Linked DNA regions of Notamacropus eugenii. The protein of the gene in region 2 interacts with the protein of the main gene of each other region in a pairwise test. Links are inferred from orthologs where the notes say so. Each region holds a gene or a part of one and is shown on either strand. Other genes may lie near its edges.

Evidence for each region.
Region 1: the proteins of FAM168A (region 2) and OTUB2 interact in binary tests that used the Homo sapiens proteins (3 or more experiments, as listed by UniProt). The two-hybrid records come from large-scale screens. The link is inferred for Notamacropus eugenii from reciprocal best matches to the Homo sapiens genes FAM168A and OTUB2.

What each region holds. Positions count from the first base shown.
Region 1 is NC_092878.1:35,625,280-35,632,748, forward strand, and holds the start of OTUB2 (ubiquitin thioesterase OTUB2), read right to left. Parts: upstream 3,020-7,469; 5' UTR 2,832-3,019; coding exon 2,829-2,831; intron 1-2,828. UniProt on the Homo sapiens protein: Hydrolase that can remove conjugated ubiquitin from proteins in vitro and may therefore play an important regulatory role at the level of protein turnover by preventing degradation.
Region 2 is NC_092876.1:131,754,936-131,761,931, forward strand, and holds the start of FAM168A (protein FAM168A), read left to right. Parts: upstream 1-3,973; 5' UTR 3,974-4,014; coding exon 4,015-4,071; intron 4,072-6,996.

The DNA of each region.
Region 1 (7,469 bases), on a different chromosome or scaffold from region 2:
GGAGAAGTGAGACTTTGCACTCCCCTGCCTCACTTAAATCCAACTCACTTGCAAATTAAGAATGCTATCACCCTCCTGATGTCACTGGTCCTCTTTGAGAATGAAAGATGAACAACAACACATACCACCTTTTCCAGAAAGTCCCCTTCATCCCATATCAGTGAGAATACCTTGGACTTCAAATAGGTCTTAGCACTTCTCTGATCTACTTATTTTGTGTTTTCTTTATTTGTGACTGAGACTGACTGCTTTCCACTCTACAGTTAAATTCCATAAAGACACAGACTTTCTCTTAACTAAACTTATTTCATCAATCACCTCCTACAGAGCTCCACACATACTAGAAAATTAATTGTTCAACTGAAGACGAGTAAATACAGGAGATCCCCACTTGATGGTGTGCCATTTACTCAGGGATACTAGCCATTTGTATAGTAGTATGGCTTAAGAACACTGGCTTTGGAGATCCAAAGGACCCAGTTCAAACTCTGCTTCTCAAGAGCTATATGACCTTAGGCAAGTCACTCAAGGTCTCATTTCCTTATCCACCAAATGAAAAGGTTGGAACAGATGGCCTCTAGCTTTCTTCTCAGTTCTAAAATTCTATGATTATCTGGAGCCTTGCCTCCTTCTGATCTGAGCTTGCTTTCTTCAGGTATCTGTCTGTTACTTCCCATCCCCTCTAATGTTTGTTTATGCTGCTTCTTAAGCAAGTCCTTTTCCTGTATTTCTTGCTAACCTCTACTCTTCCTTCCCTTTGTCCTTTCTAATTACCCGCAAAGAGTCTCAGTCAGAGGCAATGACGTGGGATGCTAAAAAGGGGGCTGCTGGAGACTAGATCAGATGGCCTTTTTCAGATGCTAACATTAGGAGAGGTTGCCTGGAAAGGGAAACTAGGAAGACCTGGGATGGAAATCCCCATTTTGATTTATAGTAGCTGTGTGACCCTGGGCAAGTCATTTAGACTCTAGTAGAATCAAACTGAGGTTCCCTACACCAATGAAATTCCTATTCTAGTCCCTATCATTGAGTCCACAGTTCAGAGAAACACTAGATGGTGCTAGCGGTTAAAATAACCTGGTGCCTTCACACACATCTTAACCACCTGGCTTATTTTTTCCGGTTTTCCATTCAGGTGAATGGGTACTCAAAGGGCACCCTTTTGAGTGCCCCTAGCACCCTAAATGCTCAGTATCTCTGTGAGCAAAGGAATGTGTTTAATCCCGTTGAAGATAAGCACCCACCAAGTCTCCTTGAAAACTCCTCAGACAAATACTGCAAGCCCTGGTTAGGACCTGACTGAGTAGTTCACCCCCAGGCAGTGCCACCAGCCCTCTCTGTCCCACAGCTAACAGCTTAGGTGACTGCCTCTTCGGGCACGCGATTAGTCAGATCCACGCTGGGGCAGGGCTTGGAATGTACTGCAGCTTGAACTGTGCCCCCTGACCCCCCTACATTCCTCAGGGCTAGGCTGAAGGTGATCTCATGGGCTGACCCACTCAGAGGTTAGGATTTAGAGTTGGAAGAAAAACCCAGGCCTCCCTCTTTTAGAGATTTTCCTATGGGTAAAGTGACTTGCTCAAAGTCCTACAGTAATATAGTAACCACCAGTCATGAACTTGGTTCTTGTGATTCAAAGTGGGTGCTCTTTTCTTAGTTCCATTTTAGAAACTAAGAGGGGTAGGGTAAAGAGAGTGAACCATCCCCCCCACCTTTAGTCTCTTCATTTTCCCTGCTCACCCCTCCCCCCCAAGCTTGCTCTGGCGTCTCAGAGGTACCTCTTATACTCACACCTCTGCTTATTATTGACCCTGGAAATGTGAGCCCCACCAGGGAAATCCAGTCCCTTCGCAGCCGCAGCCGCAGCCCCCTCGGAGGAGGGGTGGGGAGAAGAGCGGGGCTCAGCACAGATAAAGAAAGGCCGGCTCCAGGACAGGGGTAAACCCTTCCCCAGCCCCTCCACCCCCTCTCTGGCTCCAACGCACCAAACCCTGGAACTTGTCTCTCGATGGGAAGGAGGAAGGGGCTGGCGTCTTGTTCTTGCCCCCAAAGAACGGGTGGGGAAGGTGCCTGAACACGAAATAGAAAAGGCATCACGTCAGACCCAGCTGGGTGGGAGGTCTGGCTTGAGGGTATTTCGTAGGATTTAGAGCTTATGCCTGGCACACAGTAGGCGCTTGCTATGTGCTTAATGAATGGATTCATTCATAGGACTGGATTTGGATCCGGAGAGTTCTACTAGTTCAAGCCCCTCTGGTTTTTTACAGCCGAGGAAACTGAGGCTGGGGGGCCAAATGACTTGCCCAAGGTCATACGGGGGTGGTGGCCATGACTCCAGATGGAGGGTTTTTGCCCCAAAAAGGCTCTCACGGGGTCGGCCAAATTTCCTGGGGGGAGGAGGGGAAGAGGGGGCGGGGCACTTGGGGGAGCTGGCGTGCTACGGGATGTGGGGTTTCCTGGCCTCTCCACCACCACCCCCCCCACACCGCCCCAGACACCTTCCCCCTCACACTCGCTACCCGGCACCCCCATCCAGCCCCTAGCGCCGGAGCCCGGACCGGGCACGGTCTGGGTCCCCTGGACTGCCCCTCCTGGGTCCCAGGGATAGGGTTATGGGTGGGTGGGATATGGGGGATGGGAAGGAAGGCCCTAGGAGCCAAAAGGGATCTCAAACCAGAAGGGCTTGGGGGTAGGGGCGAAGGAGGACCAGGAGTTCTGCAGTCCCCTCTCCACCCCCTCTATTAGGTCTCGCCCCCTTTCCCGAGCGTGCACATGCGCCCCGGGCTTGGGAACCCCATATCCCCTCCACTCCCACCCATTGCACTGACCATAGTGACCGGAGCCTCTGGAAATCGTCCCGCCCCAGGGAGAAGGAGATCCGGCGCGGGAGGGCGCCACAGAACGATATCTCCAGCTCAGATCGGTCGGGGGCCCCCGAGGGGTGCGGAGTGTAGAGCAAAATACCCGACCGCTCACCAAACAAGAGGTGAGATCTTCACTGTGTCCCAGTAAGATACACACCCTGGGCTTGACGCCTAAAGGCTGCAATCAGAAGCCGCGAAGCGTGGACGTCACAGAAAGAGGGCGGGATTTCAGTTGGCTTTAGCCTATGTGTAGGCCTCCAGTAACTGAACGCCACCCTCTTTTAAAAAGACAGAAACCTCAACTACAAGAGTTAAACCTCAAAGGACTGGTCCCATTTTGAAAGGCTGAATGAACTTGTGTGTTTTGAAAAATAAAATGTAAAATGATGTTTCTGCAGTCTATTTTAGATTCCATTCTTTAAGACTTCCTTATCATATGAATTTCTCAGTAAACAACAGGTTTACATAAAAATTGTTTACCCAAGGTCAGAGGACCAGGAACTTGGCTTGCCTACACAGTACTTGGCTCATTGTCTAGCTAGCATCTAGCTTCATGTTATTCATAATAATAGCTTTTCTTCCTGTCCCGTGGAATGGTATTAATCTGCATTCATTCCATAATAAGAGGGGTCATTAGTACAGTCTGTCAAGGTTTGCACAAGGTTTCCAACACATATATTATTCATGTGAAATTGAATAGTGCTACAGGTAGTATTTCCCCCATTTTACAGATTGGGAAACGGAAATTCGGAAATGTTAAGTGACTTGTCTATGTTCATAAAGCGGTATTAGCAACAAACCCAGGTCCTCTTGAGTCTTGAATCAGGACACCATAGAACGTCCACAGACATTTATTTATGTATGTGTACTGAGAGTGCTAATACTTGAACTTGGGTTTCTGGACTCCTAGTTCATTGTCCTTTCCATTTGCAGTATGATTTCCGTTTTTTGGAATAGTGGAAAGTATGAATGTATGAACAGGTCACTGCTTATGCGCAATGACTACAACAAAAAAGAACTGCTGTTTTCATCTCTTAAAAACTTTTTTTTATTGATTATATTTTTTGTTTTTACATCACCTTCCCAAATATATCTTTCCCTTGCTCCCCAAACAGCCATGCTTTGTAACAAATGTAAATGACAAAGATGAAATAGAAATAACCCTATTCAATGACCCTGTGGTAATAAGCAACAGGTGAAAAATAAAGATCTGTGATCATGGAAGGTGTTAACAATTGTGATGAGATAGATTCAGCACAGAGTTCACATTGAAGAGGAATTCGCCTTGGATGTTGAGATCCTCTAGGTTTGTGGATGGCATTGTGCCAGTTGAACCAAACTTTTAAATATTGCAGAAGAATTGAAAGAAATCTATAATCGCTCAAAGTAGTTTTTCGTATTCATCCACATAGGAAAGATCAAGTGTATAAATAAAGTCTAGTGCCCAAATTTCAACCTGCATTTGGTTGAACTCACTAAAGAGCTTATCCAACAGCATGTGAGTCTGGTACGGTAAAGATGGGCAATGAATTGTGTCCAGAGCTGAATGGGAGAAAGAGAGCAAAAACCTTGATTGCTTATGGGAAATTGCAAATCTGTGCTACTGAATCTAAGCTTCCCATGAAAGCAAAGATCTGTCTCTTTAGTACTACCATTCTGTTGATGTTGATATATTCAATAAGACTTGGAATACAACTCCTTCCAGCTAACCACCAATATGCCATTCCTAGTTTCTCTCCTTTTCTATCTTTCTCTCCAACAGCCTCTTGACTCACATCCTCAACCTTAAGCAGAGTTGCAAAAGAGATTGTTCCCACTGCAGTGTGGCATCTCAGTTTGAAATATCTCATCCAGAGCCTCCTCACTCACTCACTCCCACTTTTTGTGCTGTTTCCCCTCCAATTAGAGAACAAAAAAACCCAATGTTGTCCCTCTAATATTTAACTTTCCTTCAGTCCATAAATTGTGAAATGCCAAATGATTCTATTCCTCCAGCACAACTTTATTCTTTAGTATACAATTCCTTGTGTCTCAGAGGTGCTATGGGTTATAAAAATACAGATGAAATGATACAGGTCTTGCTTTCAGGTGTCTTGTAATTTAATGGGGAGAAGGGCAAGGACATATAGGTCAAAATGTAAGGGAGGAGGTGATTGATGCAAAAGAGAGGACTAGTAAGGCTATGAGAAATTAGATGGGCTAGAGATTACCATCACATATGGAGGAGATATCATGAAGCAGGTATAAAAGAGTTACACCTGGAAGAAAGGAAGGGACTTAATTAGAAAACTAATTGAATTAACAACTTAAGCAAAGTTGTAGGATATAAAATAAACCTACATAAATAATCTGCATTTCTATATATTACCACCAAAATCCATCAGGAAGAGATAGAAAGAGAAATTCCATTTAAAATAACTATAGACGATATATGTTATCTGGAAGTCTACCTGCCAAGATACCCACATGATATTATGAACACAATCACAAAACACTCTTTACACAAAGGCATAATATTAGTAATTGGAGAAATATTGTTTATGGGTAGGCTGAGACAATATAATAAAAATGACAATACTGCCTAAATTAATTTACTTAGTGCCATATCCATCAAACTATCCAAGGGTGATTTTATAGAGCTAGAAAAAATAATAAAATTCATCTGGAAGAACAAAAGGTCAGGAATATCAAGGGAATCAATGAAAAAAATGGGAAGGAGGGAGACCTAGTAGTATCTGATCTCAAACTATACTACAAAGTCATAATTGTCAAAACAACTTGGTAATGGATAAAAAATAGAGAGGTTAATTAGTGGGCTAGACTAGGTATACAGTATACAGGATCAAATGAATACAGTTACCTAGTGTTGATAAACTCAAAGATTCCACCTAACGGGGCAAGAATACACTATTTGACAAAGCCTGAAACCTGGGAAACAATCTGGCAGAAACTAGGTGTAGATCAATATCTCATACCATATACTAAGATAAACTCTAAATAGGTACATGATTTAGACTTAAAGGGTGGCATCATGACAACAATTAGAAGAGCATGGAAGAAATTATCTCATATCTGTTGGGAAAAGTTCATGATCACATATGAGATAGAGAGGTTCACAGGCAGTAAAATGTGTGATTGTGATTACATACAATTAAAAAAAACTTGCACAAACAAAACCAATGCAGTTAAAATGACAAAATAAGCAGGAAAACATTTGCACTAAGTTTCTCTGATAAAACTTTCATTTCTAAGATATATAGGAAACTGAATCAAATTTATAAAAATAATAGCCATTCTTCAACTGATAAATAGAGAATATGAATAAGTAGTTTTCAGATGAAGAAATCAAAGCTATAAATAGCCTATGAAAAAATGCCATAAAACACTAACTGAGAAATGCAAATTAAAGCAGCTCTAAGGTACCACCTCACATCCATCAGATTAACTAAGATGACAAAAGAGCAAAATGACAAATGCTGGAGGGGACGTGGGAAAACAAGTACCTTAATGCAATATTAGTGGATGTGTGAAGTGGTCCAGCCATTCTCAAGAACAATTTGGAACTGGGCCCCAAAATTTACAAACTGTATATACCCTTTGACTCAGTGATACCACTGAGAACACATAGATTATGTGTTCCAAAGGGCCCTGGATCTCAGTATGCCACCCATGGTGTCCTATCCAGCCAATCTGAGCTTAACAAGAAAAAGATGGAAGGTCAATAATCAAAAGGCATTTGAAACATTTTGGTAAAGAAAGGAGAACTGAAGAAATTCTATACCCCAAAGAAATCAAGGAAAAGACCCATATTTACAAAAACACTGATAGCAGCTCTTTTTGTGGTAACAAAGGATTGGAAACTAAGGGTATGCCCATCAATTGGAGAATATCTATCAAGTTGAGGATATAAAAATGTGATAGAATACTACTGAGTTGTAAAAAATGAGGAAGAAGGTGATTTAAAAAAAACAAGGAATACTTGCATGAACTGATGTAGAGCAAAGTGAGGAGAATCAGGAGAATGTTTTCTATAGTAACAAAAATATTATAACAGCTATCAACTCTGAAAAACTTAGGAGCTCTCATCAACATAAAAACCACAATTCCAAAGGATTCATTATGGAACATTTTACCATATTATCCACCTCAAGATAGTGAAGTGATTGATTCAAAGTGCAGATCAAAGCATGTTGTTTTGGTTTCTCTCTCTCTCTCTCTCTCTCTCTCTCTCTCTCTCTCTCTCTCTCTCTCTCTCTCTCTCTCTCTCTCTCTTTCTTTCTTTCTTCCTTTTCTTTTTTGGACATAGTTAATGTGGAATTTATTTTACACAACTATACAGATTAGTAATGAGTTTAGTTTGTCTTGCCTTCTTTCCTACTGAATTTTTATTGTTTGAAGTATTTGAGAAACAAATAATTTTTTCAGTTCTGCTTTCTTTACAAAAATGTTTCAAATGCCTTTTGGTTATAGACTGTTCATCTTTTTCTTGTATGGTTAAGTTCAGATTTGCTGGATAGGACACCATGGGTGGCATACTGAGCTCCATAATTCCATTCTCTCCTATGTTTTCTAGTGGGGACAGAATAGTCTTGCATTTCTTGAATA
Region 2 (6,996 bases):
TCAGCCTATGCCCTCTGTCCATTTGTGTGTGTATATATATGTATATATGTGTGTGCATATATGTATACATATATACACACAAACACACATACACATATATGTATATATGCATATATACACACGCACACATACACCCGTGTGTGTGTATATATATATACTTGCACATGTGTGTATACATACCCATACCCATACATACATATATTCCCATACACATCTACATATATATCTATATACATACATACATATACATACATATATATTCCCTCCAATGACTCTAAAACTGAAAAAGGTCTCATGAGTTACAAATAACATCTTTCCATGTAGGAAAGTAAAAACTTCAGCTTTATTGAGTTCCTTAAGGCTTCTCTTTCCTTTTTACCTTTTCATGTTTCTCTTGATTCTTGTATTTGAAAATCAAATTTTCTATTCTTGTATTTGAAAGTCAAATTTTCTATTCAGCTTTTGTCTTTTCAACAAGAATGCTTGGAAGTCCTCTATTTCGTTGAAATTTCATTTTTTCCCCTGAAGTATTACACTCAGTTTTGCTGGTAGGTGATTCTTGGCTTTACTCCTATCTCCTTTGACCTCTGGAATATCATATTCCAAGCCCTTCGATCCCTTAGTTTAGAAGCTGCTAAATCCTGTGTTATCCTGATTGTATTCCCACAATACTTGAATTGTTTCTTTCTGGTTCCTTGCAATATTTTCTCCTTGACTTGGGAACTCTGGAATTTGGCTACAATATTACTAGGAGTTTTCCTTTGGGATCTCTTTCAAGAGGTGATCAGTGAATTCTTTCCATTTCTATTTTATCCTCTGGTTCTAGACTATCAGGGCAGTTTTCCTTGATAATTTCTTGGAAGATGATGTCAAGGCTCTTTTTTTTATCATAGTTTTCAGGTAGACCAATAATTTTTAAATTATCTCTCCTGTATCTATTTTCCAGGTCAGTTGTTTTTCCAATGAGGTATTTCACATTGTCTTTTATCTTTTCATTCTTTTGGTTTTGTTTTATAGTTTCTTGGTTTCTCATAAAGTCATTAGCTTCCATCTGCTCCATTCTAATTTGTAAAGAACTATTTTCTTCAGTGAGCTTTTGAACCTCCTTTTCCATTTAGCCAGTTCTGCTTTTTAAAGCATTCTTCTCCTCATTGGCTTTTTGGACCTCTTTTTCCATTTGGATTAATCTATTTTTTAAAGGTGTTATTTTCTTCAGCATTTTTTTGGGTCTCCTTTAGATATCACCTAGTTCCACAACCTTCATTTTACAAAGGAAAAAACTGAAGCTGAGAAAGAGAAAAGAGGTTTCCAAAGCCACCTAGCAAGTCAGTGTGATTTTCTAGCATCACTTTCATTTCTCTTCCCAATTTTTCCTCCACCTCACTTACTTGATTTTCAAAATCCTTTTTGAGCTCTTCCATGGCCTGAGACCATTGTATTTTTTGGAGGTTTTGGATGTAGAAGCCTAGAATTTTATATCTTCCTTTGATGGAATGCTTTGCTCTTCCTCATCTGAAAGGATGGAATAAAATACCTTTTCCCCAAGAAAGTAACCTTCTATAGTCTTATTTTTTCCTCCTTTTCTTGGACATTTTCCCAGTCAGTTACTTGACTTTTGAGTCCTTTGTCAAGTGGAGGGTATACTACCCTAGGCTTCAGAAGTTTTGTGCAGCTGTTCTCTGAGATATCTCTAGGAACCTGTAAGTTCTCAGTTCCTCTAAGGCCCCACCAGAGTTTTTAAAAATGAAAACCAAAGCCCATAGGAAATGGGTTCATACTCATTCATTGGTTTCCTTCAATTCTAGCAGACAATATATAGATTCCTGATACCAGTCTGATTCCCTTCCTTGATCTATAGACTGAAACCCAATTTTGACTCCAACCTAAATAGTAGCCCCAATCCTATATTAAGCTTTGATCTCAGCCTTGAACCCTGACCTCATCAACAAACTGAACTCTAACTTCAGAGGAAGACTTTATACCAAAGATAGACTGAGCTGTGACCTCCAACTGAATCCTGACCCTAGTCCTAGACTTTGCTCTGAAAACCAGACCCACTTTGAATTGAGAATCCAGACTAAATCCAGACACAAGACTAAAATTTTCAATATGGTTCCCTGAGTCCTGACCCCAGCCTTAGATCAAATCATCTTTTTTAAAATCAAGTCTAGACTGACATCTGACTCTATGTGCCTTTCTCTTATCCATGCCCTTCACTTCAAGTTTTCTCTCTCTCCTCAATTTTTTTAGAGCATTCGTCCTAGATCTCTCCTTTTCCTATATCACATTGTAGGTTTCTAACCTGTGAACTCACTGGATTCCCTGCTACCACTCCCCTCACACCATCCCTTCCCAACCAGAATGAAAACTCCTTAGAAGGCATAAACTATTGTTTTTCATTTTTATGTCCCCAGGACCAAAGATAGTGTCCTCTTGCCCTTAGTAGGCATTTAACAAATATTTAGGTAATCCAAATTTAATGACTATCCCTGGTTCTATGTTCTCCACTGTCTTCCAAAACTCATGGTGGCTCCCTAGTTGGGGACTTGACTTTTGTTGGAAGAGAAGTTGGGTGAACAGGGCAGGGTGGCACTTTCTGGAGTCCTGAGTTCAAGTGCCAGCCACATAGACTTGCTAAGTGGCTTTGGAAACCTCTTTTCTCTTTCTCAGCTTCAGTTTTTTCCTTTGTAAAATGAAGGTTATGGAAGGAGGTGATAGCTAACACACACACACACACACATCACGCACAGCTGAGAGGATCAAGGGGCAGGAAGCCAAACTGGTTATTACTAAATCCTTCATTTAATATCTGTTCATTGACAGAACCTCAGAAGAAACTTTGACTCAGATATGTTATGTTGTCACATGTCTATGTTCATGGCCCAAGTTAATAGATAGAATCTGAGCCTCAGGTCTTTTAAAGTCGAGTGCTTTCCACTATAGTGCACCATACTACCTCCTTTAAATACTGCAAAGATTTTCATTCCATATTTATAGATGTGAATAGCTCTGGGACAGGGACTGCCAAGGCAGCATGGTGCCATGGGGAGAGAGCTAGATCTGGAGTCAGGAGACATTGGGCCAAGTCAGGTCAAATCCACAAGCACTTAATAAGCATCTATTATATTCAGGGATCTGTTCTAAGCACTGGGGTTATAAAGAAGGGCAAAAAATAAAACACCAAATCCCACCCCCACCCAAACTAACTAGTCTTTCAAGGGGATAAAATGGGGGGAGGATGGGAGACAACATGCAAACAACTGTAAACAAACAAGATATATTCATAGAGGATAAATTGGAAATAAATCCTAGTTCTGACACCTAAGATATAGAAGGGACCATAAGCTTCAATGTGACCAGCCTTCTCATTTTACTTACCAGCTGTGTGATCCTGAGCAAGTCATTTGACCTCCTTTTGCTTCAGTTTCTTCTTCTTCAAAATAAGGATAATGTTGCTTGGGTTGTTGTAAGGAAAAATTGTTTGTAAACTCCTGAGCACCATAGAAATGCTAGCTATTATTATGCGTGCTATATTTTAGGAATGATATTGACACTGAGAATCTGGAGCCTGTTTCAGTCAAATTACCAAGGATGGTGGACCATGTCACAGGGTGATCAGATAGGAATGTTTAACCTAGAAAAGAGAGGCTAAGGGAGGAGGTGATTTGTGTCTTCACATATTCAGAGAACTGTCCCATAAAAGAATGATGTGACTTGTTTTGCATAACCACAAGAGGCAGAGATAAAAGAAATGAAATCCCAGAGAACCAGAACTCCCCAACAATAAGTGTTCTTTCAAGATGGAATGGATTTGCTCTAGAAGGACTAAACTTCCTGTTATTGGAGGTGTTCAAGGGGAACCTGGGTGACCACTTGTTACCAACACTGCCGAGAGAATTCAGAGCATCATGTAGGGGTTGCCTGGTATCCCTTCCAGTTCTGAGATTCTAGGATTCTGTAATTCTTCTCATTCTATAATTGTGCAGCAGGGACAATTCTCTCCCTTCCCAGTCTATGGAGAGGGACTGGTACCTCACCCTCCATTCTAGCAATTTTGAGAAACAGCCCAAGGTAATTTGAATAATACTTCTGTCTAGTGACCCTGGGGGAAGTAGGGAGGGTGGAGAGATAATGAGGGAGAAATGAAGGTTTCACTCCCAATCTCTGAACTCAGTAGAAAATGTTGATTTAAGTTGGAGACAACTGTTGCTGTCCTTCATATTGGAAGGGGAACAAAATAACATTATGGGGGGGAGGAGAAGGGGGGTCGTCAATGTACATTGTGTCTAACTGTGACTGATCAGACCAATATGAGCTCAGAAGGTTCTATCACAAGTTGGGCACAAGTAGTCCATATGAACATTTGGGATAAGAGATGTATCTAAATCTGCACATCTCATGTTTCTTTTGAGCTACTGAAATCCTGCTTTTGCTCATAGAACACAGCATCTTTTTTTTTAATGTGGTACCAAATTCAGGGAGAGAGAAGAGGTGAATGGTAATGAGTCACTACAGTGAGTTAAAGACAGATTTGCTAGTTTAGGTGAAAGAAGAAAAGGTTCCTATAATCTCTGAAAGACTTCTCAGAATTGAAACCATGGACTATGATGACAAAGTATAAAAGAAAATCTATTAAAGGGGACTGGCATATATTCAGATTCCCTTTGATGATACTCTTTCTTTTTTTAATTGTATTTTATTTTTTCCAATTACATGTAAAGAAAATTTTAAACATTCACTTTTGTAAGATTTTGAGTTTCAAACCTTTTTCTTTCTTCCTCCCTTCTTCCTTTCTCTCCTCCCCAAGATGGCATGCAATCTGAAATAGGTTATACATGTACAATCATATTAAACATATTTTCATGTTAGTCATGTGAAAGAAAGAACAAAAGGGAAAACCAAGAGAAAGACAAAGCAACAAGAACAAAAAAGGTGAAAATAGTCTGATTTGGTCTGCCTTCAGACTCCACAGCCCTTTCTCTAAATTTGGTTAGTATTTCCCATGGTAATACTCTTTCAATCAATCAATTAGCTTTATTAAGCACCTACTATGTGCCAGACACTGTGATAAGAGCTGCCCCTAGAGAGCTTACAATCTAATGGAAGAGGTTGGGGATAGTTTTGATGATGTATAATGAAATTGCTTTAAAGAGACTTTGGAGTAAATGTAGACATTCTGTAATTGGTTCTGCTTTGCTAACCATGTTGTTAGGAGAAGACTTTTCAATTAGCTACATGACCAGAATTGGGGATATCTCAAAGGACATCTGAACAGAGTCTCAGACATTTTCCTGGGCCCTTCTCACCTAGTTCTCCTGGTTTGACTTCTTTGCTAATCGCATCTGGTGAGACACAATGCTGTAAGGAGACAGACCTTGGTCCTTCTCCACTGAGATCAGTATGTGACCACATGAATGGGCCTTGTGTCTTCCTTTTCCATTTTAGTTGAAAGGACTGGAGACTCTGACCTGGTGAGGTTCAAAAGGTCAAAAGAGCAGTAGAGAAGATACCTCTGACCTCTCAGGGTACTCTTAGAATCCTGAGAAAGGAAGTATAACAACCTGACTCTGGGATAGTAAACCAGAGCACACTTGCTACAAAGGCTTCAGAAAAATGAAGGTGAGTACTTCTAACCAAGATGGATGCTTGAATGAAGATGGGCAGCTCAGCTTCCATATACCTACTCTAGCAAAATACTAAAAATTAACATGAACTAATGATGAAATAATGATCAAGAAATTCAATGAGAAACTACTTCATTCATCTCAGAATGGCACAAGTCTGTCAGAAGTCTACCCAACAGGAAAGGTGGCATACCAGAAAGTCAGCACCAATGCAGGCAAACATCTCCTAATGTGACCAGAAATATCTGTAGCCCAAAAGGCTATGTATCAAGAGGCAGGGGGAGCAGGGGGCTTCCATGAAAAAGTTCTGAGGTTGGATCCATAGCTTGGATCTTAGGAGCCAGAAGTATCAGTGAATAGTATGGGCATGGCAGATCTCAGGTAACATCCTTGGCCCAAAGGCTTTGAAATCCCTAGCACTCTGTCCTAAGATACCATAAAGAACCCTAAAAATTCAGTATTCTGAATCTCAAAAATCCAAGGAGGTCTAAAACCTACCAATGCTCTTAATGTAGACATACCCTGGGAGGTTAAGATCGGCACAGAAACCCAGGTCAATACCAAACAGGGCTGACCGCTCTATCCAAAAGGACATCAAAAGACAAAGACTCATCTTGGCACAGCAACTAATGATGCAAATATGAGTAAACAGAAGACATCAGGCACTATAAAGAATTATTATAAGGGGCTCAGCACCTTCCAGCTCCAGTGGTGGTTAGTTTTGCTGTATTTTGTGCAACTGTCTCCCTCCATTCTATATGATGTAGAAGCATTCTCCAGCAAGGCTATCCTAAAGGTGCTGAAGAATGGAATACCTGATCCTATGGCTTTTGGTTTCTGGAATCATCTTTAGTAGGGATCTAGGCAATGTAATTGCCTTAAAGCCAGATGCTGCCTGCTCACACAGCTTAGAGAAAGAGGGCTTTGTTGCCTCCCTGGCTCCAGTGCCTGTGGTCCCTGCCTTTTGTTCAATATGATCTCAATTGCTATATTCTCAAAGGAAAATTACTTAGAACCCTGTTGTCCCTGGGGCAGGAACCCAAAAGCCTGTCTCCTTGGGGTATGTATATGCCTATGCATCTAGCCTCTTGCTCATCTAGGACTGTGGAGATATGATCTCTGGATCATCCATATCCACGCAATGACATTCTTGTTCCCATGATGATTGTGATTGGTACAATGGCTGGGCTTTCCTCACTAGTTATGGATATAGTCTGCTGGTGTGGTTTATAAAAGGAAATCTGAGAAGGCAAGAAAAACTGAACCCATTAAAATATGTATAGTCATGCAAAACAAATTCCTTTATTAGTCATATCTCCCTTACCCCCTGCCCCCACTAAAAAAAGGAGGAAGGAAAAAAGGAAGGAAGAAA